Linked DNA regions of Nothobranchius furzeri. The protein of the gene in region 1 purifies or fractionates together with the protein of each later gene. This does not show direct contact. Links are inferred from orthologs where the notes say so. Each region holds a gene or a part of one and is shown in the gene's direction. Other genes may lie near its edges. The genes, in order: dnajb11, sdf2 and sdf2l1.

Region 1 (10,453 bases):
AGGGCACTCAGTAAGAACCGACCTGGCTGTCTCTCTGGGCCTGCCCTGACGGTGAAAGTTGACCAGGTTCCGCTAACAGCTCCAAAATCTCAGCCAGGTGACTTTGCATGAATGACAGATGGGCTTGGTCGTCCCAGTTCTGCTGATCGAAGAACAGGAACAAACACAGACAATGTGGAACGTCAGACAACAACTGAGCGTGATCTTTGTTTTCAATGAGATCTCACAAATACTGCTTGCAGGAACAGTACACAGCACCCTGTTCTGATAACTGATTTTGGCCTCTCGTTCTGATGGGGAAGGGGAACGAGCACGATGGCTGGGCCACTCTTCACCAATCAGAGATGTGCGCAGAGACATGCGGTTCAGCTGCTGGATGTAGAGGAAGAGGAGGAACTGCAGCGTGTCCACCGACAACTTAAGACAAAAACACAAAGCCTCCAAATCAACACAATGTTCCCTTTTAAATATGAGAGGAGCTAACAAACAAATACTATCAAACAGACAGAAGTATCGTTTAACTATACTACACCATGTTCCTTGCATGGTCCAGCTCGCTTTTGGAGGAGCACTGGGATAGACGCTCAGCCCACTCTAGCCTCTGTTGTGGACGGTGATCCACTAAAAGGTCAAAGGTCTCAAAGTAGAGCCAAGCCACATCTTCTGGAAGCAGCAGCTTTCCACAGGCAATGCGTTTCCACCTGGGCCAGCTCAGAACAGGGAAGCAGCCATCCCGCGTTTGCACGTAGATCGCCATTTTACGAAGGTAGGGAAGGCCGAGTTTGGAGGAAGGCGCCACCTATTGAGTCAGTGGCTCTAGTTAGTTTCAAAACATTAACATCAGCTGGGCAATATATTACAACATCACAGCAGCAAGAATGTGTTCACCTGCAGGGCACCCAGTAGGAAAGGCTCCATACGTGGCCATATGGCCACTCGGCCTGCCTCCATGTCTGATGAGAGAGCAGTGGCACAGCGTCACTCAATGCGCAATGTCTGCAAACTATGTTGTTTCAGTGCAAGTAGTTCCACAAAGCGCACACGCTCAAAAATCAGAGCAACATGTAACCTCCTCATAAATCTGATTTTATCCAAATGAAGTCTGTACTCTGGCACCAGATCTGAATCACAGCAACTCAAGACAGTCAGATTTAAAGAAGAAATAAAAATCAGTAAATGATTAATGTCTTTAAAATGATCTTATTTCAGTTTATTTTGGTCCAAGTTTGTTAACTTATGTTTTTGAGCCACGTCTGCTAAAAAGGAAACAAATGGACTTTCTGTTTGTTCTCATCACCTACATAGACATCAGCGGTGAACGGCTTGATCGTGTGTTATATCTAATTCCTGTATGAGAGTTTGTTTACTATAATCTTGGCTTTTGTACATAGCAACACATCACTTCAGACACAAGCTAACTAGCCAAACAAGCTCTCCCTGCTGCGTCTATTCTGTGTAAACAACCTAAACTTACTTTTAATGGCGCAACGACAGCGGCCACTTGTTCAAGCACTTGCCTGAAGTTCGGTGCTAGTTACCGTGGCTACCGCTGGTTAACAGCTGGGCTCCTACCGCCAGTCTCCGGCCCTCGCCCAGGGAGCTCGGTGGGCCGTCAAGCGGACAACGACGAGCGACAAACGCTGTAGTTATATTAAACTTAAGACCCGGAGTTAACCAAACCGGGAGATACATTAAAAGAACTGATGCTGTACGGGTAGGAAGGACCGCTGTCGGTACAGGACCTGCTCGGGTGCAGGATCGACTCGGGGTCCTTCGATTGTCGATGACGTCAAAGTAGTTGATTGGCTAAACATGAAGTTTACGGAAGTTACGTTATCACGTTATGATTTTGATTGGTCAGAACAAATTTGCGGTCGTAGTTAGCGGTTGTGGTCCTGTAGTCCAAAATCAACACTTTTTGGAGAAAATACGTTTGAATTTCTAAATGAAATGTAAAATATAAGCAAATGATAAATGGTGACCCTCAAAAGCTCTTGATGTTGATGAAATGAGGTAAAATAAAATATAAGAACTTTATTGAAAGACACCAAGCAATATTTTGAAGAAGAAGAAAGTATCATTTCTATAGCGCCTCTCAAGATAAAAATCACGAGGCGCTTCACAAAAACAAAAAAATGTAAAAATATAAAAAAGCATTTTGAAAATGTTGAAAATTTTATTTAAAATGAGCAAAAATAGGCAATTGTGATTAAAAAATGTTATGAAAGAGAGAGAGTGAACAGGAAAGAGGGAAATCAGTGGATCCTGAGGAAGGTGGAATAGGTGGGGAGAGCAGAATAAAGAGAGAGTGGTGAAGAAGGGCATACAAAAGCCAGCTTGAACAAGTGAGTGTTCTGCTGCTTTTTAAAGGAGACCACTGAGTCCACTGATCTCAGGCTCAGGGGGAGAGAGTTCCAGAGCCTGGGGGCCACAGCAGCAAATGACCTGTCACCTTTGGTCTTTAGCCTGGTGCTGCACAACCAGTAGGCTTTGGTCACTGGACCTCAGGGACCTGCTGGGGGTGTAGGGACTAAGAAGATCACCAATGTATGATGGTGCTTGTCCATTTAAGGCCCTATAGACCAGAACCAGGATCTTGAAATGAATCCTGAAGTTGACTGGCAGCCAGTGAAGCTGGAGGAGAAGCGGGGTGATGCGGGTGTGTTTGGAGGACTTGGTCAGAAGCCGAGCACAGGCATTCTGAACCATCTGTAGACGGTTCAGGAGTCAAAGAATGTATTTAGATAACAACTAAGGAAATATACAGATGAACTCCACATTAATACAAACAGATATGGCTTCACATATAAGAACTGTTCTATATTTTGTCAGTCCGATGTTGGTTTTACCTAGTTTCACATTTTTTACAAAACAAAGATAATATGGTGTTTTATTAACAAATTACAATTATAAAGAAAACATTTAGGTGTTGCAAAACTTCTGATGTCTTTCCAAAGCGTATGTGTGAAAGCTGAGTAGATTTGCAGTAATGTGACGTCATCAGCAGGACCCCGGTATTATTGATCCTTTTTTTTAACTTTAATTACCACATTTTGAACAGACAATTGTAAGACAGGGATCACATAAAGCATACCATTGTAGTATTACAATGAATTATAGTATTACAATGAAGAACGATGGAAATGATGAAGACATGGAGGAAAAAGGAAAAATAAAAATAAAAAAAGAAAGGTTTGGAAGAGGTTAAGTCAATCGAGCAGTTTCAGATGGTTACAAATGTTAACAGACTTGAGAGCTTTGGTGTTTTTTGATAAGGAGATCGTCCTTATTGTTCAAGTTTCATTTTTAATACAAGAAGTTCAGGTTTTCTGCCAAGGACTTTGCTTTTTTTGTATGTGAAATTTTGCCAAAAATAAAAACATATTAACAAAGAAGAAAGCATCATTGTCCTTGTTTTTAAAATTATGAAGACCAAAGATAACATCTTTGTAGTATAGTTGAAAGTTAGGGAGAACAGAGTCATTAATAAACTTGCGGAAGTCCTTCCAGAATTTACTTGTAAATTTACTCGACCATAACAAGTGAGTAGCTGTTTCAGGTTGCTCTTGACAAGAGGTACAATTTACATTTATATCAGCTATGAATTTTGACAAATATTGTTTGGTAGGATAAAACTTATGAATCAATTTAAATGTAATCTCTTTAACTTTGACTGTTAAAAGAAATTTTTGTGGTAAGGTCCAAACTTTTTTCCATTCAATATCTGTTACAAAATTAGCCCAATAAGATATGGTCGATGGAACAGAAGTCATTGTATCCTGAAAGAGAGTTCTTATTTTGTTATTCACCAACGAGAGGAAAAACAAACACTGCCAAGAGAAGAATGTAACACATCCGGGCGACTGACTGATAGTGGAGCGCTGTGGGAGCATCTGAACAACATGGACAGACCGGATGGGATGGCATCAAACACTATTGAGAATTCTCTGGGCGTTATTGGTATATTGTATTTCCTAAGGAATTCAGAGTAATTGTATAAGAGCCCCTTTTCATCAAATAACTGGCTAACCAAGATGGTTCCATTATTAAACCAGTTATTTAAAAAATTGTTTTATTTTTATAAATAATATTGCAGTTATTCCAAATAAAACAGTTTTGCGGGGAGGAGTTGTGTTTGTAAATCAGTGCCCACGCCAAAAGAATTTGTTGATGGAAGTGAGAAAGTTTTAGTGGTATTTTTGGAATACTGTAACTGCAGAGCAGTAGGAAGTTAAGACCACCTGAATTAGAAAACACATGATGTGAGATAAAATTCCAGATAGAAGTGGGATTTTTTGAATACTTTTAAATCCAGTTTATTTTAAAGGTGTCGTTAAGAGCACCGAAATCAATAAAGCTTAAACCTCCTTTATCATATGGATTTAAAGCTACTGATTTACGTAAGTAGTGGGTTTTATTTTTCCATAAGAAATTGTATAACAATTTGCTAATTGATTTACAAGTTGTATTATCAACGTGTAGTGACTGTGCAGCATAGGTTAGACGGGAGATACCCACAGCTTTTGAAATCAGAACTCTTCCTTTTGATAGGTCTCGCTGTAGCCAACAATTAAAGATCTTTTGGGTTTTGTCTATAATAGGAGTAAAGTTCTTGGAGCATCTGGATTGCTCATTTTTTATTATTTGAATTCCAAGGTATCTTACAGAGTTTTTTTTACAGGTATTCCATGGATTGAAGTTGCAGAACAATTTTTAACTGGTAGCAGTTCACATTTATGTAGGTTGAGTGAAAGTCCGGATGATTTAGAGAATAACTTTATTGATGGCCAGGCATTATTGATCCTGGACCGACACCGGGCGGGCGGTGCGCCTTTAAGGCGGGGCGGAGTTGCCGGAGAGGAGGCCCGCCCTCTCGCCGTAGGAGGGCTCTCTCTGACAGGAAGAAGAGGGTTAGTGACTGGCAGTGGGTTTCTACGAAAGCCGGGTTGCGTCTTCTCTATCTGGTCCTTCACTAACCTCCGGATATATGGCTAAAAAGGGCATGAACCTGTGTAACGTGTGCTGCTTGCTTCTTTATGTCGCCACGGCGGTGCTCGCCGGGTAAGTGAGAGCTGCGATGAGCAGCTGGTACACATGTTCCTCTGTGATTGGTCTAACCGTCCTCCATGTGTGGAGCTGACTGACGCTCTCAACTAACTACTTAAGCGGCATTTAGTCGTTTACCATCAAAGCGATATATTCGCCATTACCAACCCGTATGACTCTAACTGGCCTCTTTTAAGCTAGTTTGATTAGTTAGCTGTAGGCTAACAGGAGTGAGACCGAACCGGCTTCTCCCGGTGTGTAGCTAGCTGCTGTCAGTCGGGACAAACTCTTAAACTAGCAGCTTTGTTTATAATGTCTACATGTCTGTGATACTGAACATGCTGCTATGTTTTTTTTTCTCTCCATCTGATCTAGTCGAGATTTCTATAAGATTTTGGGGGTGAGCAAGACGGCATCAATAAGAGACATTAAGAAGGCCTACAGGAAGCTGGCTCTGCAGCTGCACCCCGACAGGAACCAGGACGACCCCAAAGCTCAGGACAAATTTGCGGATTTAGGAGCAGCTTATGAGGTGGGCCAGAGTCGGTTGTAATGTCTGATGTCAGTGACATGACAAGAGGGGCGCAGCGAGCCCGTCTCGGCTGTAAACATGTCATAGTCACACAATAACAGGGATATTGGAGATCTTACACTGGATCCCCAGAAGTGCCGGTGGGCTCCATTGTGAGACTTTTGTAAGCTTTGCTACTTGGTTGTTGTTGGAAACGCTACGAGCTCGGTGATTGGTCGACTGGACCGTGTGGCTGCTTCTGATTGGCTGGAGCATGGCGGAAAGGCATACGTGGAAAAGTGGGGGTGGCGTTCTGAAAGGGTTTTGCAGGTGTTTCCGGCGCAAGGTTTTATTTCCAAATTGACTGTTTTCACCTTTTTTAGCTTTCAGACGTGTTCTGATTTATGAGTGTAAAAATCCCAATTCAGTAATATCTTTGCAGCCTGGGAAATGAATCTATAACGGGTTTGTCCTAATTATTTCATCTGTCATCTTAATAACGGTGACCATTTTTCAGTTTTTTCTTAAATTGTTTAATTTAATACACAAAATGTTTTAAACTCTAAGTGTGACAGTGGTGACTGAACACTAGGGAACTTTGAAAGATTACCAATAAATGCCCCACACGTTGTATGAAGAAAGTGTGTGTGTGTGTGTGTGTGTGTGTGTGTGTGTGTGTGTGTGTGTGTGTGTGTGTGTGTGTGTGTGTGTGTGTGTGTGTGTGTGTGTGTGTGTGTGTGTAGGTCCTCTCAGATGAAGAAAAGAGGAAACAGTATGATATGTATGGAGAAGACGGACTCAAGGAAGGCCACCATAGCTCTCACAATGACATCTTCTCCAGGTTAGTGTTGGTTTGGGTGTCTTGTTGTTATCTTGTTTGGTAGAACAATAAAGATACAAGAACTGACCTTGGTAACTTACAAGCAGCAAACTGTTTAAAATGAAGATTATTTTCTGTACAAATAAAACGATAATCTGCGTAAACCCAGAACTACCTGGAGAGATCACATCGCCAGGCTGCCCAGGGAACACCTTGGGGTCCCACTGGCTACGGTGTTGGAGGACAGACATCCTGGAGCTGCTACCCTCTCAACACAGACCTGAAAAGGCAGACAAATACTAACAAGCATTATTTATAATATTTAGATTAATGGTCACAGTGACTTGTGTCTGTATTGAGAGAACTCTAGAAGTAGATCTTCATTGAAAACATATCTTCAGATACATTTCCAACACCTGAGGGTTCATGTAGGAAACCCAGCACTCCTGAAAGACAAGCCCAGCATGTTCTAAAGCTTACATTTTACCTGGAAACTGGACAAGATGCTTTTGTTTTGGGGGATTCTCTGTCATCTGGGACATACAGATCAGGGCGCTGTGCCAGAAAGCAAGCTAATCCCCAAAACCAGGTGTTCTTTAGAAAATCCTGGCACTGCCTGGTTTTAAAACCACTCAGGATCAGAGGACACATAGGAGGGCACCCACAACACCCATGTTCAGAAGGGAAGTTGTCTTTTTAACTCTTGATCAAAGACACCTGATGTGCATCGGCCTTCCCTTAGTGACTTCACCTAACCCTTTCTCTCATTTCTCATTAAATTATTAGAATTTTAGTAAAAATGTTGAAGGCATACTTCAGACCAAACCTGATGGGAGTATAGGCCGCCCATCCATGCAGGTAGCAATCCGATGAAGCAGCTCCAGATGGGAGACATCGGTACCTCAAGCATATTCGACTGGATAAGTTCAGAACCGTGACCGCCAAAGGTAGCGCAGCTGGAGGTCCCTGCGTTCAAAGCCAAACACCCGAACAAGAAAAGATTACGAAGTTCGTAGAAAAAAACCGCAGTACGACCAGGTCGGTCCAGAGTCGTCTCCCTGATCACAACAGGTAGTTGTTTGCGTCTATGGAACGATGGACTCTGAAGGAGTCTTGGCTGTGTCAGCTTTGTTCCGAAGGAGCAAGGTTCTGTGTCGCTGCAGCGTGCAACAGGTTTGACAGCTTGTCAAGAGATGCGGTGGTTAGGGAGTTTTCCTCCGGTGGCCAGTCCGGAGTTCGGCTCAAAAACTAACTGAATCACTCAGCAAGTGATTCTGTTTTAACAATTTCCATATTATGATTACATGGCCAACCAGAATTTGACATGTAAAGGGGTTTTACCAACCAACCTCCGATGCACACCTCCCTCAGATACAGGAGCTCTGATTTGTGGATCAGAAAGCAGCGTGTCATGAGATTAACCATGTGCATGAGTGTGTGCTTGTCAAGTCACGTACGCTGGTTAAATATTTGGGTCATATATTTAATTTCATTCTTATTAATTCTAAGCACAGATTAATCAAAACATTTCATTTAACCATATGGTCAATTTCATTATATGATTAGTTACCGTAACTCATATGAGCTGAAAATGTTCACTTTTATTCGGAGGCAAGAGGAATCCTGTAGAAGCGATAAGAGAACGCTTAAGGCCTTGAAACAGGAACAGTTTTGTTGACTATATGTTATCTTGCGTTCTCACCAGTATCAGCTGATGGAGGGCTCAAGTTTCGTTGCGCCGTTCGTGTCAGCGGACACGGTAGGGTCGGGGAGGGGTGTGGGGCATGACGCTTAGCCTGGCGGGTTGGTAAGCAAAGCCTGGGGGAAACCCTGATATATGTGTATCTATAAAACCCACCACCACTTAAATAATAAATGTAAAACACTGTCTTAGCTCTATTAACCGGCTACAGGTGCCCATTCATGAATAAGAGTTGCTTGTAGCTGTAATCATGGGAGTAGGTGGAGGGGTTTTATGTGCAATACTTTTTTTGCCTCTAGATGGTGCCTCTGAGAAAAAAATTCTGGATTTCTGCTTTAGGGATCCCAACTGTGATCCACTTCTAGCATATTTTAGAGGTTTCTCTGCTTCAACGCACCTGACTTTAGTCAGCAGGTGGTTAACAGGCTCCCAGAGAGCTGGATGACCTGTTGAACAGGTAATTCAACAGCTGAATCGGGTTTGTTGGAGCAGCAAATCAAATCAAATTTTGGACAGGAAGCACCAGGGTTGGAGAGCCTGATCCCTTGTGTTGATGAAAACTACAGTATGGGTAGACCAAGGTATGGCCCAGTGCCATAGCATGGTCAAGCTGGGCCCGGGTGCATGTTACGCTTTAGGCCCTCACACCCGCGCACCGCCCTTAGGCATACGTTTACCAAATACTAATGTGAATACTCAGATCAATCTGGGTGTGGTAGGGTTTGTGGAGGGTATTTATAAATGCTATGCATTTTTTTTGTTGCAGATTTGAAATGATCATCTTTTGTTTCCACAAACAATGCAACAGAACATCAGCAGACAAAGAAAAACCACTGATATGTAGCTTTATTACTAGATTTAGCTAAAAACGGGACATTTGCGTCTTGGCCCAATATTGTCCTTAAAGAGCAAGTCACCCCCTACCAGATTCTTACTCAACTCCCACTTCCTGTTTGAAAAATGCAACACATGCTGTTGCCTAGCAGACCGAGAGGGCGGAGCCGCTAACAAATACACACACACACAGGCTCACGACAGCATTGTGACATCATAATGTACCAGTTTACATCATAGCATACCTCTTAGCCAATAGCGATGGCAGATTTAAATTAAAATACAGTGCAGAGTTTTTACCTGACAACGGCACAACACTGACAGTTTTAGACAGAATATTTAAATTTTAACTAAGATGCACTGAAGTGTCAAATTATTGACGACACGTGTCTGCAGCACGATTAGACACTCGTTTATTTAGTTTATCAGCAAAAAAAAGTTTGTTTGGGGGTGACTTGCTCTTTAAGCTCCAGTTTTTGTGGTAGGGGCCCACTCTGGGCCCACCAGGGCTCTTGTCCAGTGCATTTACTGACTGGTGGAACATGTGTACCTGTGCATGGTTTATATTTGAAGGAAGCCCTGTCTGGTGAGGATGCTAGTGTATTTGTTCAGTAGGTGGCAGTATAGGCTACAATCCACATGACACAACATACTGGATTTAAAAAAAAGGATTAAATATTTTAATGTCTGCAAATCCCAAGGATGTGTGTTCTCTAGCAGCAGAAACCGATCTTGCACACAGTTGGGTGTATCTTATTTGCTGCATCAGAACTCATCTACAAATGTTTCCTTTTCCAAGAAAAATAAACTACTTGAAACATCTTAGTACTTTTTAAATGTACACTTTCCCCTCAATATGCAGATTTCCTGACTCTAAACACCATTGTTGATATTAGGACAAGGCTTTTGGAAAGTTAACTTTCATTATTTGAGCAGAACAGACCAAATTCTACACAAATTTGTTGAATTACAAATCTACAAAAGAGCCAAAAGGTCACAAAACTGTGTTTAGGATAGTTTTCCTCCAAACACAGAAGCGTAGTGGAACACAGTCACCACAGATGGTAGCTGTTGTGTGGACTACCTGTCCTCTGTATTTACTCACTGGTATTGCTCCTCTCCATGCGAAGCTTCTTTGGAGACTTTGGCTTCATGTTCGGAGGCAACCGGCAGCAACAGGACAAGAACATCCCCAGAGGAAATGACATAATACTTGATCTGGAGGTCACGCTTGAGGAGGTGTACTCGGGGAACTTTGTGGAGGTACTCCTAATTGACTTGTTGTTTTAAACTTCAGAGCCTTCTAGTTTTGTGTCTTGTTTTCTGAATATTTGCTGAACTGCTTTGTTGTGCAGGTTGTGCGTAACAAGCCTGTAGCCAAAGAAGCTCCTGGTAAAAGAAAGTGTAACTGCAGACAGGAGATGAAGACCACACAGCTGGGACCGGGACGCTTCCAGATGACTCAGGAGACCGTGTGCGACGAGTGTCCCAACGTAAAGTGAGTCTCAGTCCAGATGTTTACCATCCATGTTTTGATCCC
Region 2 (10,522 bases), on another chromosome or scaffold:
AGAGGGGAAAAAGAGGAAAATGAAGCAGTAGGGCCTGAGATGGTTGGGCCAGAAAATATCAAAATATGAACCTGCTATTTACTGAAATTAAATATTGAGGCTGTAATCCACTAACCTGGCCTGCCAGACTCCTCTGTTTAATTCTGCACAGAGAAAGGGTCTGGGAACTCTCCTATTCCAATAACCCCACCCTGTGAGAATTCTAACCAAGCCAATCAGCGCTGAGCAGCGTACGTCACACACCACAACGCTGAGTTTGTCAAACATGGCGATTGAAGCGGAGTTCGCTACAGCTCTTTCCTCTGTTCTGAATGACTTGGACACGTCTTTAAAACAAGTAGAAGCGCTAAAAGCCTTTCTTCTAAAAAAAGATGTTTGCACTGTCGCCAGCTAAAAAACTACAGCATTGCGTGGTACAGTCGGCATTTCAGTCTTTTCTGATTAGCTCTTTTTGAGCTGCCTAGTCCCGCCCCTCAAGAGCCTCTCTGCCTTGAGTTACCAGACTCTTTCTCTGTGCAGAATTTAACAGAAGACGAGTCTGGCAGGCCAGGCTAGTCATCCACAACAGCCTCCTTGTTATTTCAGACCATTTAAAAAAATAAAATCAGCCATAAAAAAGGCAGAACAAAGATTAACAACCTTTATAAAGAATATGTTATTTCTGTTTTTATGAATGAAATAAAATTCCAGTAGAAATATCAGATAAGAAGAGCAATTTTATATGCAGTCTAGATTCAAGGCTGCTGTTATTCTTGCAGAAACCATCCAACCAATAAGAAAAGATAATTTTCTCTGAATTAAAAAAAGTTATGGCTTTTCTGGTAGATTGCATTTATTTTGCTATGTTTTGCTATGTTTTACAATAGGGCGGCACAATATATCGTAAATATATCGTTATCGAGATATCAGCATGCACAAGATGCATATTGAAAAAAACAGATAAATATAGCAATAAATGGTCAGCTCAAATGCTTGCTAAACATAATGCATTCTGTCAAACGAAAGCCTTATATTTTTTTAACAAATCAAATAGAGCTCTTCACCCATTTGGCCAAATGGGTGGGTCCTCATAGCCTAGATATCCGCCGCCGAGGTGGACGGCACTTAATTTTGATGGTTAGCAAACACCTGAGTTAGCTTTGTTCTACTCTTATTGCTGATTCTGCTTTTCTCGGGATCCACTTATTGCCTTTTCTTGCTCATTTTCCCTTTCCTCACATCTTTAGCTTTTCTCATTTTTATGATTTTTTTTAAATTTTTGTTCCTGAGTTAAGTTTTTATTTATCACAAGTAATATCGTCCTCGCAATATTAATCATTGTTATCGAATATTGCACGTTTTCCTAATACTGTGCAGCCCTATTTTACACTAATGATTTGTAATCACACGTAACTCTTCTCATTAATTCGACAGAAATAGGTAATCCTAAGCGTTAGCTAAAATAAAAAAGTGTGTTAGAACAGAAAGTTCGGAGGATATTGTATGTTTTAAGCCATCAAATTCTAAAACTGGATATCTGATAACTCCTAACTTACTGCGCTTTTTACGCCGATGCCTGACTTCCTCTTCGGAATCACTTCCAGCTGGACTTGCACTTTTTTCTGCTTCCTCTTCTTCTGCATCATCATCTCCATCGTCAATCAGTCCACGTAAATTTCCATGCTCATCCTGCTCCTCTGGATTATCCACATCTTCTTCTTCATCTGTTGTAAAGTGGCAGCATTCAACATGCCATCTAACACCAAAGGTCAATCACACTGATAAAAAAAAAACTCTGATTTTACCATCTTCCTCTAGGAACCTCTGAGTCTTCTTGGGCTTAAGGTCCTTCTCTTCGAACTCCTCCTCCGACTCCTCAGCTTCACTGTCAATAAAATCTGACATGACAGCTGCTCCTTGGAAATTGAATAAGAAATAAGAATTGGTTAGAATAATTTGTTGATAAAATTACAAAGTTAAGTTTTCTCTAATTTATCATAAATGTATTTACAGAAAGAAACAAAAACTCAAATCATGGTTAGAAATGTTTGCACAGAGAAGCACCTGAGTTAGCTTTAACTTCTCAAAAACCTATTAGATACTACACATACATATTAAGCCTACACTTTTATCATTCAAATAAATTATTATTGTATTAGACCTAAACTGTTTGTTACACTAAGACCATCTGATAAACCACATCAGCTGTTGTACATTATTTACCTGATTATCTTCAAGTAAAACGTAGCACATGTTTTATAATGTAATTTGTAACAATTCAGTTTTTTCCTCACAAGTAACTATCAGTAATACTATAAATCCGTGTTTGTGGACAATACGTTGGAATTTTCCTATCTCCAAAGTAAGTGCGTAACCACAGAGACAGCAATCTTGTGTCGCAATGCGTACTTACAGCATTGAATAATGTCAAGAACAGCTAAGTAGCTAAACATAAAAGTTACAGACGTGGTTTACGTTAATGATCGCCGTTAGCCGATGTCAATATAACTGCAGATTTCGAAAGAAACTATGACTAGAGTAACACCTTTTGTGTGCCATAACCGTTAAGGATGCTAACTACGCTAGCAATGTAAGCAAGCTAGCTGATAAACGTACCGACAACTAAACATTTAATCTATTTTATGTTATTGATATTAAAATGTCTGTAAACAAAATTTACAGATAACAATGAAAGTATGGCTTTACCACGCCCACAGTTAGCGAAAATAAACCGAGGCCTCTTAACCTAACACTTATATTAGCTTGGTAGGCTTAAGCTGTGCGTTAGTAAGAACAAGCAGCTAAACCTAACGAAAAGCACAACGTGTAACTCAACCCTCCAAAATTACCACGGTAAATTCAAACTTACACGTCTCCGTGCAGTTGTATAATCCAAATATACTTATAAATGTCAAATATTTGTGTTGTGTTTTGTATTTTTGAGCTTGCACTACAAAAAGATGGCCGAGAAGACCAGTGTGGAAATTCTAATTCTTCCTCGTGAGTTGAAAACGCTGTGGGGTCCGTTTCCACCACCTAGTGGAATGTTTGGTGTATGGCAGAATGTGATCTAAATAAAGGAAAATACGGTAATGTGATCAAAATAAACAGTGTTGGGCAAGTTACTTCAAAACTGTAATGCATTATTTATTACTTGTTACCCTCATTTTAAAGTAATTAATTACATTACAATATTACTGATTTAAAAATGTAAGGCATTACACTACTTTTAGGCATTACACTACTTTTGCATTACTTGAAGTAACTTTCACCAAAACAACTTCAATATGAATCTGGTAATCTGACGCTCAGTGAGCTCATGACATATATGTGGAAAGTGATGTGGTGTTTGAGCTAGGATTGCTGTTAAAAACAGTCAGATATAATAACAGTGCTTTAAAATGATTGTTTATTAAATGAAAGCAACAATCTCAGCACGCTGCCATCTTATATTAACTGAGCAGGGAGTAAGGTGGTGGGGGCTCCAAGCTATTTGCCTTGGTCCCCAAATGCCTTGATACGGCCCTGGATGTGGGACTGACTTCTGGGGTGATTCGATTCTATCACTAGTATAAATATTAAAATGCTTATGTATATTATTGCTTTTCACTGGTAAAAATGTGTATTGGGGATAAATCTACCTACTTTTTTCCTTTTCAAGCACATTGTTTTGTTTTCTTGATTTTATGTGAATAACTTCCTGCCCTTTCTCTCTCTAACCTTCCTGCATGTTGCATGTTTTCTCTGTCTTCCAGAAAAACTGTTTCCTAGATTTCCTACTTTCTAACTAATCAGCCAAAGGGATCTACCAAACGCAAATAAATAAATAAATAAATAAATAAATAAATAAATAAATAAATAAATAAATAAATAAATATAAATAAAAAAGCTTCATATGCGCTGCGCTCCAGCAGCAATGAGTTGAAATCACCGGGGCACAGATTATGAACTCAGCTGAAAATTACATGAAGTACCAGAGAATATGGGCTGATATAAACGATCGCAAACGAATTACTTTGTTTTGGTGGAGCGGTTTTGTGAATATAACAGCGGCCGCGCGCAGGACGCAGCTGGTTGAGCCATTACCGCCGCGTCCTCTCTGCTCATAGAATGCCCGCAAAGCTGAGTCCATAAATGACATAATATATGTAGATACTGGATCTTTTTTCAGGCTTCCCGCAATTTGAATTTTTAGGAAACCCACATCTTGATTCTGGGTTTAAAAATGCATTGTAATTACCGCGTTACTGACAATTGTACCGAGTAAATAGTACCATTTTCTTTCCCTGTAATACCTTACAGCAAAAAGCAATGCATTACATTATAGTTAATTACTTTTGTACCGCGTTACTCCCAACACTGAAAATAAAGTACAATAAAATACAATAAACAAAGCCACCTTCTGAGGTTTAGATTTTAAAAAGAGTTGTTTAGATAGATAGAGTAGATAGATAGATAGATAGATAGATAGATAGATAGATAGATAGATAGATAGATAGATAGATAGATAGATAGATGAGATAGATAGATGATAGATAGATAGATAGATAGATAGATAGATAGATGATAGATAGATAGATAGATGATAGATAGATAGATAGATAGATAGATAGATAGATAGATAGATAGATAGATAGATAGATAGATAGATAGATAGATAGATAGATAGATAGATAGAGAGATGATAGATAGATAGATAGATAGATAGATAGATAGATAGATAGATAGATAGATAGATAGATAGATAGATAGATGATAGATAGATAGATAGATAGATAGATAGATAGATAGATAGATGATAGATAGATAGATAGATAGATAGATAGATAGATAGATAGATAGATAGATAGATAGATAGATAGATAGATAGATAGATAGATAGATAGATAGATAGATAGATAGATAGATAGATAGAGAGATAGATAGATAGAGAGATAGAGAGATAGATAGAAAGATAGATAGGTAGATAGATAGGCTGATTGACTGATTGATTGATTGATTGATTGATTGATGAGGTGCTCAGAAGTCTCAGAATGATATAATGCTAAAATGGGACTCATCAGTGAATATAAACAAATGACCAATTATGCCTGTAATTTCAAAATACATAAATAAATCATACAAAATAATGATTTGAAAGGAGATGTGCAGTGAACTATAATTTCTCTTTTAATTTTACTACTTTTCCTCCAACAACAGGGAAATCATCTTCTAAGCCAAAGATAAACAAATGTCAGAACGACGTTACCTCTCCAATCCACACGGGGCGCTGTTTCAATGTCATTACATTGGTACGTTACTACTGACGTAGCGAAAACTGATACAAAGCCTAGGGAGGTATTGTCAGTGGCATTGGAGTTAGAGTTGTAGTCGGAATGGCTAACTTAAACTTAGATATTTTTGACCATTTTCTACCAGCGTTTTTACTAATTTTATTCTGTATATTTGGGCTTTCTGCTGGGACGGAACTGAGCTTTGTAACATGCGGTTCAGTCATTAAACTATTGAACACAAGGCACAACGTAAGACTGCACTCTCACGATGTTCGCTACGGATCCGGTGAGTTATGGTTCGTTTGACATTTCACTTCAAAATATGATGTTTGCAAGGTACAGCTTCCTCACGGTCACGTTAGCTGGTGTTTGTAGCTACAAAAGATCGGGTTGTCTATTGTAGATGCAACGGTAAATGTCAGTCTGACACTGTCGGTCAGGTCGTCGTAGATTCAGGCTGATCTGGTTTGACTGTTACTTATTTAATATGAATCAGGAATTAATTGAGCGTGTCTTTAACCATTAATCTTTAACCTTTAACCTTTTAAATTAATTGTAAAAAACGGTCTAAGATGCGTGTCTTTAACCATTAATCTTTAACCTTTAACCTTTTAAATTAATTGTAAAAAACGGTCTAAGATGTTCACTGCAAGTTTTCTGTACTGACGATTAATTTCAGTACATTTCACCTGACTTCCAGCCTTTCAATCATTTGTGAATTTCTCTAGTAAAAAAAATAAGAATACTTCAGGACCATCCGCCTTACTTTATTTTACTGCTAAAAAGTGTAAATGTAAATATTATAATAAGATGCTATTACGATTAGAGTAGTTTCCATTTAATGTTAAATAACTCAGAAAATGTCACTTTTCATTTATCAATCAAATTTACTTTTTCGGCCCAATAACATCGTTCATCGTGTGTGTGCGTGTGTGTGTGTGTGTGTGTGTGTGTGTGTGTGTGTGTGTGTGTGTGTGTGTGTGTGACAGGTAGCGGCCAGCAGTCTGTAACAGGTGTCTCTGTGGTGGAGGACAGTAACAGTTACTGGAGCATCCGTGGGACCAGAGACAGTTCGTGTCATCGGGGGTCACCAGTGACGTGCGGACAGACGATTCGCCTCACTCATGTCAACACCGGCCGCAATCTACACAGCCATTACTTTTCCTCTCCGTTGTCTTCTAACCAGGTGGGTGTATGAGGAGGTAGATGATGAAAGAACCGATTTTGGTGTCATGAGGATTTTTCATCCCTTTGGAGATTTTGAAACTCGTGTACACTTGGGTCGCATGAGACCGTGTCATCTTAAACAATTAGTTCTTTCTCTCTGTGTCTGCAGGAGGTGAGCGCGTTCGGTGAGGAAGGAGAAGGAGACCACCTGGACGAGTGGACGGTTGAGTGTGGAGGATCTGTGTGGAGGCGCGAGGAGGCCGTTCGCTTCCGTCACAAAGCCACCGACATGCTCCTGTCTGTGACGGGGGAGCAGTACGGACGGCCGATCCACGGTCAGACGGAGGTTCATGCCATGCAGAGTGCCAGTCAGCACAGCCTGTGGAAAGCCATGGAGGGCATTTTCATTAAGCCCAGTGAGAGCCCGGCAGGCAGCCGAGACTACGGCCACGCCCACACGGAGTTCTGAACTTCACCTTTCTGTTTTTGCGTCGGTCTGTTGTCCGGTCTGTCCATATCCACCATAAAATCTGAACCAGCACCTTCTTTCCCCTAAAAATGTCTCATCTTTATATTCACAGGAGATGTATCATCAAAGATGCAGCAACTGCTCTGAGATTGTATTAAAATCCTCTTTATTTAGGTCTGTGGCACTAAAAAAACAAGTAAACCGGGTTCTTTACCACAGATCAGAAAGCAGATAAACACACTCACCAAGTGAATTCTGTCTAAGATATCCTGTTACACCTGTGCCTATAAAAACCTGTAAAAAGTTATGGGTGTTTACATCACTAAGCTTTTGTAAACAGGGTTTTTTACTATCATTTTGCTCTTTTTAAAATTATATTTTTAAGCCATATTAAACAAAGAGTTCAGCAGTATTAAAATTATATTTTCTTTGTTTCCATGTTGCATCTAAGTTATTCTGCACTGATTTCCATAAAAGAACAAGCAGCAGTGTTGTGTCTGTGAATTAGAGGATCCCCTAACTGGATGCCGTTTATTAACCGTGTTTGGTGGTTTATTGTTTAGTCTGTGCAGTTTTACACTCAAATTGTTTTGTGAGAGCAAATGTGCTCCAAAGTTTCACACAAGCATAAAACTCCTCACATTAAAGAGTGTTTTCATGCATAAACACCACTGTGACTTTTTTATTTGATGTCAATCCATTTAAGTCCAACTTTATTAACAAACAACCAGCATAGGACCAAAGCACTTTGAGCTAATCCTTGAGAAATAAGTTAGCTGCATTTATACAGCATGAAATAAACAAGCCTCAAATAAAAACAGTCGAGCAGTTAGAAATTGCCACATGAATCTGATAATTAATGAAGGACTTGCAAATAAGGCAAGTAGTTAATGTCTTTTTGGACCATTGGTCTTGCCTAATGCCTTGTTTGCCCATTTAATGACGTCTCTTGGTTCATTATCTGACAGTTAATGGGGTTTCAATGTGATGAGGCTACTCTAACTCGTATTTGACCTGTAACGATTAATTCTGAGCACTGCAGGAGTAGACGAGTGTTTTATGTGTGTTTGCTACACTCGTTCACCTGTGGAGACTTTCAGATGCTTCTGTAGATTAGTTCATGTGTGTTATGAGAAAGACTTAATCTTGAGGAAGTACTTGGTGATACAAATAAGGAAAAAGTACTTTATTGGAAGAAATTTGGTAGAATCAGAAATCGGACTTGGCAGAAATCCTCTTTGGTTTTATCTCCAAATAGATTTAAGGAGTAAAAACCGTGGAGGCAGCGTGATGAAGTCTATTTAGAAAATTAGATTTTCTTGCCTTTTTAGTGGAGTCAGTAGCTGCAATTTTTTTACAACACAGAGACAGGAAACAGACTGAAAAGTAAACATGAGATAAACAGCCCCTGTGTGCAAAATCGTTAGGTAATTTAAAAAAGGAGTCACTATGTGTTGTAAAAGGTTCTTGTGGGTTTTAGTGTGAGTTTTTAGGTTTCTACAGTTTTTGTTGGAGATTTAAGTCACATTTCCTTTTTAAGAGTTAGGTTAAGTTATTTTGGATGCCCATGTGCGCACCTTCTACTGGCTGAGGCAGAGGTCTGCAGCTGTGGCTCTGGAGCCACAAGAGGCTTTCTGAATCCTCCACAACGATTCTTAAAGTGACAATGTGCATTTTTATATTTAATCTCTGGAAATATCCATTGAAATGTTATTGAAAATTAATAAAATGTTGTCCAGTTGTAGAAAAATATTTGCGGCTTTGTAGGACTCAATAACTCGAAAATGTTTCGTTATTGAAATTTCTGACTCGCATCGAGATAATTTTTCCCATGTCAACTTAATAATGAAAAAATGAAAAGATGTGTAGGTTGGCAATGTTCATGTCCCTTTAAGAAGCTGTACCACCTTGAGTCACATGTGTAGCTCGCGGGTGACGATGGATGAAGCTATCGCGTTAGCGTTCATACTCGTTTAATTTTTTATTTTAATTCTGGTGCCTGTTAGCAACCGAAACACATCCTCACGTGCTTGTGGATATAATATAATGCATATGGAGACATGACTGTAATAATAAGTAAAGGTTATCAGCGGTAGATTTAATTTGCTCATAGGAAACGTGGCAAAAGAAAACAAAACACATTTCTCTTTATGGCCTGTATAGTTGTCATCATCAACATAACATGATTTACAGAATACATGTTACCAACTAACATTTCATGTTCTATCATCAGATGTTTGGATCATAACATGGACGTAATTTTCAGTTTAAAAGTGGGGGGGACACGGGGGGGGGGGGGGTATCTTTACAGTATGTTCTAATGGGAAACAGGCATCAACACAAACGGTTGTTTTCCGCTTGGTCCTAGAGCTCAACCAGTGTCAATTTAATATAGCATACTATTGTTTTTGGATGGTAAAAAGTGCAGGGGTCAAAACTTGACTTTGGAAAAAGTGGGGGGGACATGTCCCCCCTGTCCCCCCAAAAAAATTACGTCCATGGATCATAATATGAACCAATCAGATCTTAGATCACGTGAGAGCCAGGCGTTTCCTGTCATACCCTAGGTTTTGCAGCCGGTGGAGAGCAACTGCAGTGCCTTGCTCCGAAATCTGTGGCCACCTTGATCTCACTATATCGTTGTGTATACATGATGTCAGAGCAAGTCGGCGTCAAGTCAGACACAAATCTAACCGGCATGCACTGTGCACCAATCACCGGTGATCTAATCTGTGCAAACCTGGCTCATCTGGAACACAGCCAATGTAACTCGATGTAATACATGTGACAGCCCCATCTAGTGGACAACTTTTGTTTCTACACATACCTGTAGTTATCGTCCATTTATCGTTATCGAGGTGAAATCCTCAGTGTATCGTGATGTTGATTTTAGGCCATATTGCCCAGCCCTACGGCTTCGTAACGTATTACCATAAAAATTGGGTCTGAAGTACATAGGGTGCGGGTCTAGCAACTTTGGGGGATGGCAAATTAGTTGCCATGTTTCCTTCTGGCCGGCTCAGTGTCCTGTGCCTGTTGATGACATCACACTAGATGACTGGCTGGATATACGACTTAATGGAAGTTATGTTAGCACGTTCGAAAATATTTAATTAGGAAGAAACATGAACCACCATGCACAACAAAACTGCGAAACTCTTTCCAAAACCTACGTGAAAGAACAGAATCGAAAAAGAGATGCAATTTATTTTGGCCGAGCGGTATTGCCGTAGTATGATGATGTCATCGGCAGGTGTAGGACCCCGAGCAGATCCGGAAACTACAGCGCCAAAAAACTAGCATTGACATTGCACACTTTCAATGGAACTAACTGAAGGACCACCAAAGCCCGAGGAGTCACGCTGAGGTTGCACGCTTTCTGCTCCACAGGTAACAACATTTACCGTAATGCTTTGTAACATCACGAAATGGCCTGATTTTGAGATCCCACAGGTCATGTGCACAGCCAGGTCAACTTACCCTGGCTATCAAACATCCTACGTATATTTTCCTCTGACAGGAGTCTGATAGTCTACACGTAAGCCCTTTAATCAGAGCCTACTTCCTCACACCAGCTGGACTGCAGAGATAATGAAGAAATAAACAATACCAATTTTATCCTCCAAGGTCCATC
Region 3 (10,538 bases), on another chromosome or scaffold:
CACGTACAGAAAGTAAAACATCACGACATAGACTCTGAGTTTTGCGTCTTGAAGGCAGAAGTCCTTCCTAGCCAAAGACAAGGACACAAGACTGCTACGTACGAGGCTTGGGTCATAGTAAACAAACCAGAGAACTACGTACCTGCATGGCAGGGTGAGTACAGCATAGGTTTCTTTTTTTAGCGTGCTCAGAGTACAATCGTGTTAATTTTAGAGAAATACAGTTTATACTAATATGCAGTGGGCGAATACAGATGAATTAGAATGAAATGTTAATTTGAAGCATGAAATAAAGCGTATAAATTTATATGTAATCTTAGTACATAATTACCTTACCTGATATAAAATGGGCGCTACAAACTCGAGCATTTCGGATCGTGTTTTCCGTCCAGTTTTCATCAACCCTTTTGATGGCCTGCAGCCACAGACGCCTCCGATTTTGTTGAAATGGATGTGCTCCCTTCAGAAATCTGTAAAGTTTCAGTCCACTGCTTGAAGAGAAGCGATTCTGGCATCCGTACACGCAACAACCCGACATTTTTATGTGCTCAGAACTTCAAAACAAACGGTTTAAAATGCTGTTTTAGTATCGCGTGTGAATGAGGAAGCCCTCACTCTCGTTGCCAGGCTGCGCGCGCAACTTTTGATGACGTAGGTAGTAAAAGGGTCTATTATATCATATGGTACCAGCTAACATTCTTGGGTACCTCTTAGTCAATAGCGATGGCAGATTTAAATTCAAATGCAGTGCAGAGTTTTTACCTGACAACGGTACAACACTGACAGTTTTGGGCAGAAAATTAAAATTTTAACCAAAATGCACTAAAGTGCAAAACTATTGATTGCATGTGCCTGCAGCACGATTAGACACGCATTTATACAGTTTATCAGAAAAAAAGTTTATTTGGGGGTGACTTGCTCTTTAAGGACCAAAGAGGAATCTCTAAATCCTCTAAATTAAGAAATTTTTATTTTGTATTTGATTTTGATTTGTTTGAATAGTCTGAAGTGAATAAAACAATAAATAAATAATATATTTCCTGTTTTTTGTTCATGTCCATAAATATACAAACACACTGTTGAATTTAAAATGAGCCTTTAACAGTGAGGTGCCAGTTTAATTCATCACATTAGAGCTAGTTAAACATGCAACAAAGTGATCATTTAAAAATGATTGATTCGGGAAAAAGTAGAATGCCTTCTCCGAGTCGGGGTTGAGGTCCTGCCCCAAGTGGAGAAGTTTAAGTATCTCGAGGTCTTGGTAAATGGTAAATGGTCTGTATTTGATATAGCGCCTTCTAGAGTCCTGGAACCCCCCAAGGCGCTTTACAACACAATCAGTCATTCACCCATTCACACACACATTCACACACTGGTGGGGATGAGCTACGATGTAGCCACAGCTGCCCTGGGGCGCACTGACAGAGGCGAGACTGCCGAGCACTGGCGCCACTGGTCCCTCCGACCACCACCAGCAGGCAACGTGGGTTAAGTGTCTTGCCCAAGGACACAACGACAGCGACAGACTGAGCGGGGTTTGGAACAGCAACCTTCCGATTACGGGGCGAGCACTTAACTCCTGTGCCACCATCGCCCCATGGCGTCTTGTTCACGAGTGAGAGAAAACTGGAGCGTGAGATCGATAGGCGGATTGGTGCTGCATCTGCAGTGATGCGGGCGTTGTACCGGTCTGTCGTGGTGAAGAGAGAGCTGAGTCAGAAGGCGAGGCTCTCGATTTACCGGTCGATCTACGTTCCTACCCTCACCTATGGTCATGAGCTTTGGGTAGTGACCGAAAGAACGAGATCGCGGATACAAGCAGCCGAAATGAGTCTTCTCTGAAGAGTGGCTGGGCTCTCCCTTAGAGATAGGGTGAGAAGCTCGGTCATCCGGGAGGGGCTCGGAGTAGACCTGCTGCTCCTCCACATCGAGAGGAGCCAGTTGAGGTGGCTCAGGCATCTGGTCAGGATGCCTCCTGGACGCCTCCCTGGTGAGGTTTTCTGGGCACGTCCAACCGGGAGGAGACCTAAAGGTAGACCCAGGACACGGTGGAGGGACTATGTCTCTCACCTGGCCAGGGAACACCTCGGGATCCCCCCGGAGGAGCTGGCCCAAGTGGCTGGGGAGAAGGAAGTCTGCTCTCGCCTTAGGCTACTGCCCCCGCGACCCGACTCCGGATAAGCGGATGAAAATGGATGGATGATAATTTATAAATATCCATTAAAATATAAAAACTGGACTTAAAAAGAGACATTTTGGCAGCACAAAGAACCTGTCAAACACAATATTTATTATAATAATTGTAGGCAGACAGGAGACAGAGCTGATGGTGGTTTTCAGTCATCGAAGGATGGCTGAAGGCTTTCCAGGAACAGGAGATTGTCAATTATTTCTCTGCTAGGATCTGGTAATAGGCTGTAATGACCAGTTAAAACTGAAGAGAGACTTGCATAACTCGCTCTAGGCAGGAACAATTGAACATGCCGTCATGGCAGGTGTCCAAGCTACTCTTCAGAGCGCGCTTCCCCCTGCATTGTGCCCAGCAGCAATGACGATAAGTTGCAGGTGGTTTTTCACTTGGTTAGCCTATATAAGTGGAAGGGTTCATACACTATAAAGTTGCTATAAACCAAGCTAAGCTTACCATCTAACAGCTGTGTTGCACAAGCCTGATTCAAAATTCAATCAAGCCATTTTCCTACATAGCTGAGTCGGCTTCAGGGCGCCTTTCGTCGTTCATAAGTGGCCAAATGTGTTACGATAATGTGTTTTTCACAAAGGATAAGACGTATAAAGGGGAGTGGGGCTAAATCTGCGCTGCCGCAGACATCCTTCCAGCGCAAACGTAACTTGTTTATTATCCCGATTAAAGAGCAGGGAACCCTATTGTTTTTGTACAAATTGTTCATTATTTTTTATTACTAGGGTAACAGGCATGAAGAGCAGGAACTCTAATAAGTATTTAGATTTAACATTTAGATGCATTTAAAGGCACACTTGGCAGTTTTGCTTGCTTTTAGCACCCCCTAAGTGTCCGTTATTAATTCTCGGTGGGTTAGGGTCAAACGTATGTCTTCGTTGTGCGTTCGTATTTTTAACACCTTAATCTAACAGCTGAAACCTCTCCCAGCCTTCATAAGTGTCTACAAGAGTGATTCATTACTAAATGAACCAAATAAGCGGTGTGCATTATCTGAAACATGCAGGAACCAGACTACAGCGCCAGATATGTCAGCTCAATTTTTTCATAAGTCCCAACAGAGCGGCCCGCCATTCTGAAGTTGCAAATAGGATACGATGATGTGAATAGCATGCAGGTGTAAATGATCATTATTTAGATTTAAGTTTAGATTTGTAACGTTGTACATATAATATGTAGAGGGGTAAATATTGTGCTTTTAAGCTTAATATATTACCTTCACTTATGACCAGGAAGATGTAATATTGTATATAAATATAGAATATCAACCTGCTTGGTCTTTGAATGTTTAATCAGAAGATTCTTGGATTCTTTGCTTTTTCAGGGATCAAACACACTTCGTGTTAATTCAAGAAGAGAGTCAGGTTTATAAAACGTAAGAATGTATTTTCTAAACAGTTAAAAACATGACAACTAGGAAACACATATTAGGTGATGAATGAATCTGAGTGGGTGGGATGTGAGGTGTGATGATGTATGAATGTGATGTTATCAGAACCTTCGTATCTGGAGAAGGGAGTGAATTTGGTTTGCTCTAAACTAATTGATGGTTTCTAAAATCACATCAGACACAATCTGGTGAGCCCACGCACCTGTTATGGAGACCCCCGATTGGATCCGAGGGAGTCTGGTGACCCCAGTGCCTCGAGGTTCATAGGATAATCGCGAGGCGACCAAGCCAGTCCTGAGATGTCGCCGGGTCACACAGTTGTTTGCGTCTTAGGAATAAATCTTAAGGAGTTGAAGTTGTCTCGCCTTGGTGCTGAAGGAACCATTTGCGGTGTCAGCTGTAGATGGGATGGTTAGAGTTTCCCTCCGATGGCCAGTCGAAGTTATGCTCATAACTTGAATGCTTGAATGCTGAATTGGAAAGCTGGAATGCTGAATCGCTCAGCAAGTGATTCTGTTTTTAATATTCTCATATTATGATTTGTGTGGCCAATCAGAGCTTGGCCAGATGTTAACCACCAAACCTCAGACATCACGCCTTCTTCGGATAGGGTTGCTCTGATTTGTGGGTAAGAAAATATCTATGTGTCTGCAATTACATTAACCTTGCGTCATGAGGAGATATGCAGTGTAGACAATGATTCACTTGTTAAATCCAACATTCCGGATCGTCATATATAAATCTTTCAATGTAATAATATACACATTTCACAGATTAATCAAAACATTTCATTTAGTATTCATATAACATTTGTTCATCAACCAAATTATTATTTCAAACAAACCTAAAATAACTGTTGGTGACGTTCAAAAATAAGTGCTTTCTTGGCATCAAAATGGGCACCAAATGTGAATGGCACTGGATTAGAAAATAGACCTATATATGGCCATGCCTACGGGGTCCAGGCTAGTCTAGTGGATGAAAAGCACTCCACCACGCACGCAGGTGACAGGCTGTGTAATGGTGAAAACACCTGACCACCAACACCAATGCCTGTACTGCGTTCTTGGCTGCGTCTCCCCTTCCAATATGGCGGACCAGTGGACGTGTCGCGTCAGCGTTATGACAACACAGAAGTACCCTGGCCAATCACGTTCGGATAGTCATTTGCTTGGGACTTGTCACGCGCTGATTGGTGCAGACGCACACTCCAGTGACGTGTCTGCGGGACTCTCCCAGCGCTTGTACCTGCTAGCAGAAGCAGCTGCTGAAGATGGAGAGCGTTTCCTGCGTCCGTCGCGTTGTCCGCTCGCTGCCGCCGCTGCTGTCGCTGCTGCTGCTGCTGCTGCGCTCCAGCTGCGAGGGGAGAGAGTCGGAGCTCAACTTTGTGACCTGCGGCTCCCTGGTCAAGCTGCTCAACACCAGACACAACGTCCGCCTCCACTCTCACGATGTCAAGTACGGCTCAGGTAAGCCCACCGTCACCTGTACTAAAGCCCGCGTGAGCTCTGACGGGTCCTAGTGTGCTAGTGAACCACCAGACTCCTCCAGTAGATGGGATAGTCCATCAGGACGGATCTCTGAGCCACAGCACGGGTCATCCTCTCCTCTCACTCGGGGGGTTCAGTGCAACAGTCCCAGTTGGTGGTGGTGCTTCTGCTCTTGGTGGAACTCCTCAGGGTTTAGTCCTGGTTGTGTTTTATTTACATATGCCCCGGCGTTCTGACAGAACACCATACACCAGAGCAGCATGCGTGCAGTTAAGGTGCAATCATCTAAAGCTCAGTTCTCAGTTCGACCCAGACGTGGAAATCAAGCTTTAAAATGTCTCAAATTGACAAGTCAGGGTGTCAGATAGTCATTAAAATGTGAATCAGAAGGGTTTCAAGCCACGTGTGCGCGAATCACAACATTAGGAACTTGCTGCGGTACAAAAAAAGATAAATAAACATTTAAGCTCTTGAACCCTAGACCATTTTTCAGATATTTTCTGAGCATATCTCATAAACGACAAGGTTTATTTGAGCTGTTTTGGTATCAAAATAAAGGTAAGACTCTAAAGATTACGCATCACTTATGTCACTGATGGAGAGCAGCAGGATCTGGAACACAGCAGAAATTAGAAAAAAAAATCTGTTCCGCCTAAAAAAAATCCACTTTATGATGCTAAAATTCCTTCTAAAATACCTCGTTGCAGCCTAAAACATCTAGAAATCCACAGAATAGGGTCTGAACATTTGCTGACCCAAAAATCATGAAAAAAAAAGAAGTATAGAGAAGTTAGAGAGGTTTTAGTTGACAGAACTCCAGACGGACCTCTCCTGGAACAGTATGTGCCGTTGGGAACTTCTCTGGTTTTCACCTTCGGTTCTTTCCCCTCATTTTTAACTTTTATTAGAAAGTATTTCCATCTAAATGTTTTTGAGGGTTTTTGGGAAAAATCCACCCAACATATATTTATCCATTCAAAATAAGGGAAAATCATACAGAGGAATTAATTTGGCTCCTAATGGAGCAAATTTATTAACAACATGTAAAACAGAATTTCACAACAAGGAAACTGAACAGTTATCATACCTGAACAATCAGGTCTAAATGGGCTCCTACAAATCCATCGGGCTACTTCTTATTTTCATTTGCAGTCGACATGATTACTGAGCTCACCAGGACTAACTGGTATCATTGAGTCCTTTGAATCACTTTTGCACACACAATGCTGGTTCCTGCTAATCACTTCCGTTGTTTATGCTAAGCTAAAGCAGACCAGGAGAATCACTGCACTGGTTACTAAATGTCCTTTTTCTCACTTCTCTAACTCTGGGGAATACGACAATGGACAGATTTTCACTTAAGGGTGGAACATCCCTTTCAGATGTGTAGTCGCATCTATAAAGTATTTCAGTGTACATGCGCTATGTTAGCAGCTGTAAGCTAGTTTATGGCTATTTGAACTAAGGCTGTAGGTAAACGATTATTTTCAAAACGATTATTCTGGCGATTATTTTATCGAATAGTCGACTATTCTAATGACTAATTAAATGATTAATCTTATGATTGTTTTTTTTTTTTTTTTGCTGTACAATTGATTAAAACCAAAATATGTTAAAGAAATACCCCCAAAATTGTATAAATGACTTTATTACACAACGATTTTCCAAAGTCAAACATCTTTTGCTTAAAACAAAATAAAAGCAGTATTATTATTGGAACACAGTTCCAATAACTCTAGTTTAACTCTAGTTTTAGTGCAAAACAGGCAGGTCACAGCATGAACATCCCCGAGTGTTTAACACAAAATTAAACTGTTTAACCCCCAGAAACCCAAATTTGGAAAACAACTGCAAAATCCTTTTTTAGGTTCTTCCTTCACTAGAACTGGTCTGGCTTCAAGTGCGAGGCTCTGAAGTTTGATTTTTACCTTCAGGACATCCATCAGTGGAAAGAAATTTCAGCTTTCGGAATCGTGGATCAAGGGCTGCCGCGAAGATGCTCACATTATTCTCATTTTCATCATATGAAGTCTGACTCTTCCATCTGAAACATAACGGTTATGATTTTTACACTTACATAAATTCAAAGTGCTTGGAGGGAAAGACTAGTAGAAGCAACAGCTCTATGATATATGAGGAAAACATTAAGATGCAAACTGGGAAAGCTTAATTTAAAATACATTTAGTTAGTTTAAAACTAGATTTCAAGTAGGGCTGTCGCGGTTGAGGAATTCCTCCTGCGGTGATTCAGGGTGGCTTAATATTGCGGTGTGCGATATTATTGCAGCCCTTTTTTTATTGCAGTACTATCTAAACATAATGTTTACACATTTAAAAAAGGTTAAAAATTGCCGTGCCTTCTTTAATAACACTTTACTGAATGCAGATCAAAGGGCAGTAACAACACAGATCGCAGTAACGTTAGTTCCTCTGACAGTCGGAGTCCGACTGAACTTAAAAACAACAAAATTCAGGAGGTTAAACTTTTAAATGCAAATTTGGCTGCAGCATCTAACAAATAAGAAACAAGTCCCCATTTTGTTTAGTTGTTTAAAATCAAGCATAAAAAATGACATGTACCGGGCGTGCGCGCACTATCATTTCACTTTCACACACACGAATGACGGTGCTTTATAGCTCGGTCACGTCCTTGTTACCCACAAGGAAAACCAGCATGTTAACCATATACGGTTTGAGAGAGGATCTGAGAGGGGGGGCAACATTTGCAGCAACACTGAAAACCCTCTCGGATGGTGCGCTCGTTGCACTAACGCACACGTACTTGCTGCGACTGGCGAGCAAAGGGAATCTCTCCCGGTTGTTGCTCCACCATGTCAGGGGGGTTCTTTAGGGTGGATGCATTCCTCCTGCAGGTAGCGAGTGAGCTCCAGCTCGGCTCAAACTCTCTTCGGGACGGTTGCAGAAGCAGTGCTTGTCCGGGACTTCAGCAGGTCTCCGAGCGTTTATTATTATTTTTTTGCCGCTGGTGGCAGCTCTGTCTCGGCCAAGGACTCTGGCTGCGCAGCAGCTGACGTACTGAAAACCAAAGTGCTCCCAAAGGAGCGAAGTAACGTTTCGTTTTGATACCAGTGCAGCCGTCCTTCTCAACATGCATCACTGAGTTGAACCAAGTTCAGTAATCGCGGTGGCCCATGATGCAGCGCGGTGGGCTTCGTCATATTGTGATATTTCATTTTTGCGGTTACCGTGACAGCCCTAATTTCAAGAGCAGAATAATTACACTGACCTTGAAGCAATCTCTGCAGCGACTGTTGTTTGGAAGGTGGCAATGGGAGCACAATCAAATGCTTTCTCTGTGGACTTCTGTAGACCTTTCACCAGAGGCGGCAGGACGGATCCTGTGACGTTTGCCTCTCCATTAAGGAAGACAGTGGCTTGCTCAAATGGCTCAAGTGCTTGCTGTAATTCTTCCAAGAGGCTCCACTGTTCAGCTTTCATATCAAGGTAACGCTTTGATGCCTTAGTGACCTCTGGGTCTGAAAGGGCTGCAGTTACAGGCCAGCGCTGCTCAAGGAGGCGCGTAATCACATAGAAGGAACTATTCCATCGCACAGCTACATCCTGGATTAATTTGTGTTGAGGAGTGCCCATCTGCTCTTGTTTGGCCGTTAGTTTAAGGAGGGCAAAACTGCTATTGTGAAGGTAGCTGACAAGCTCCCTTGCTGCCCCAAGTGCCCTGCTGGGGGTGTTTCAGAGCCTGGTTGACTATCGGCTGTGTTGTATGGCCAGCACACCGAAGGGAAGATACACCATGCCTCTCCTCAAGGATCCGTAGGGCTTTCACATCATTAGCTGCGTTGTCGTGGACTATTGCCTGGACATCATTGCGAAGAGAGAAATCAAACTTCTCAGCAACCTCTTCGATCCAGAGAGCGATGTTGTCTGCTGTGTGTCGCTCTTCGAGGGGACAAATGAGACCGTCTCCCAGTTGTCGTCGATGTAATGGCAGGTCACGCCAAGGTAGGCCTCAGTGGCAATGCTTGTCCAGGCATCAGTGGTGAGCGTGATTTTTGAGGACCTCTTCTTTATGTTCTTCTTTAAATTCTCCAGAGTATCTTCGTATGTCTTTTCCAACTGGTTTGTGAACCACCACCTGGATGGCCATTTGAAGCCGGGACAGGCGTATTCGACCATATCGATGAAGGCGTCACCCTCAACAAGAGACAAAGGCCTCATGTCTTTATCAACTGTAAGATGAGGAAAATATAAATATAGAAACAACATAGCATTCAACATTTGATTACTAGACAAATCACACAAGGACATGAAGAAAATAGAAGCCAACAAAAGCAAACGCTGGAGATTATAGACACTGGACCCTATTTTGTCCTATTTGTCATGTTTTTATCTAAATGAGGGTGAATTTTTATTTTTTTTACATGGTTAGCAGTTTCCTCCTAAAAGATGCTGAAAGCAAGCAACAGTTAGCTAATATTTATTACTTTCAAGACCGTTTTATTCAGCCGGTTGTCCTCTGAGGTGTGCATTGCATCTCTTGCCCGAGATAAGACGACAGGGTTCTTTGCTTTGCTCTGGAAAACACAAAATCAATTCAAAGATTAAAAATGTTTATTGTCAAATCCACAGTTAGAAACATGTTTCCCTGTTGCAGTAAAGTCATTACTTTGCCGCCGCCCTTGTTGCCAAATAAAAAATAAAGTCAACAATATAAGCTACACACAAGTATAGGCTTTGCAGAATGCAAACCAGAACATATTTGGAGCATATCAGAACAACAGCTATGAAAGTATGGCGTCTTAAATCTGCTCTTAGCCTGATTGCGGTGCTATGCCATGATTAAGTCATTTGAGAATGCTGGTGTGGCTAATTTTGTAATGTTAAGTCATGTTTTGTACAACAATAGATTTTGTCATTGCCTAGCAGCAATTACCTAGTTAGCCATTTGGGCCAGCATTATATGCTATCGCTAATTAACGTTAGCTAAATAAAGCTATGTTTAGCCAAACCAAACACGCCCTACCGAAGTGCGCAGAGCTCACACACATCTTACACAAACATGCAATCAATTTAGCAAACATATGATATAATGTTACTTACTTCTGTTCGCGGGAGTCACGGGTAACAACGGGATGCCTCCGCTTCAGATGCTCTCACGTGGACGTTGTGCTGGTGTGATAAGCTAATTCCATGGTGCAAAGACTGCAAATAACGGCACTTTCACGTTTTGTGCTCCGTTTAAAATATTCCCACACCTTTGAGGTAGGGCGCCGGGGTACCAGAGACATTGCTGCTGAGTATCAGATGAACGGCGTTTTGTTCTCCGCGCTGCTCTGTTTGGTCACATGGTGCGTCGACTTCCGGATTTGACGTCAACGGTTTTTTAGAATCGAATCCTCGACGTCATCGAGGCGTCGCTACAGGCCTAATTTGAACCTATTCATAAAGAGGACAGCATGTTGATCATATGGGTCCACCC

Evidence for each region.
Region 2: the proteins of dnajb11 (region 1) and sdf2 purify together in Homo sapiens (affinity purification with mass spectrometry; 3 studies listed by BioGRID and IntAct, counting the BioPlex papers as one, with this or other methods). This does not show direct contact. The link is inferred for Nothobranchius furzeri from reciprocal best matches to the Homo sapiens genes DNAJB11 and SDF2.
Region 3: the proteins of dnajb11 (region 1) and sdf2l1 purify together in Homo sapiens (affinity purification with mass spectrometry; 3 studies listed by BioGRID and IntAct, counting the BioPlex papers as one, with this or other methods). This does not show direct contact. The link is inferred for Nothobranchius furzeri from reciprocal best matches to the Homo sapiens genes DNAJB11 and SDF2L1.

What each region holds. Positions count from the first base shown.
Region 1 is NC_091754.1:36,587,090-36,597,542, reverse strand, and holds the start of dnajb11 (dnaJ homolog subfamily B member 11), read left to right. Parts: upstream 1-4,871; 5' UTR 4,872-4,987; coding exon 4,988-5,061; intron 5,062-5,421; coding exon 5,422-5,578; intron 5,579-6,300; coding exon 6,301-6,398; intron 6,399-10,043; coding exon 10,044-10,176; intron 10,177-10,268; coding exon 10,269-10,411; intron 10,412-10,453. Other genes in the region: tbccd1 (TBCC domain-containing protein 1), read right to left, coding at 23-139, 259-417, 533-799, 889-951. UniProt on the Homo sapiens protein: As a co-chaperone for HSPA5 it is required for proper folding, trafficking or degradation of proteins.
Region 2 is NC_091750.1:60,577,496-60,588,017, forward strand, and holds sdf2 (stromal cell-derived factor 2), read left to right. Parts: upstream 1-4,971; 5' UTR 4,972-5,354; coding exon 5,355-5,538; intron 5,539-6,241; coding exon 6,242-6,438; intron 6,439-6,588; coding exon 6,589-6,888; 3' UTR 6,889-7,554; downstream 7,555-10,522. Other genes in the region: supt6h (transcription elongation factor SPT6), read right to left, coding at 1,536-1,703, 1,785-1,884.
Region 3 is NC_091757.1:21,483,820-21,494,357, reverse strand, and holds the start of sdf2l1 (stromal cell-derived factor 2-like protein 1), read left to right. Parts: upstream 1-4,792; 5' UTR 4,793-4,863; coding exon 4,864-5,059; intron 5,060-10,538.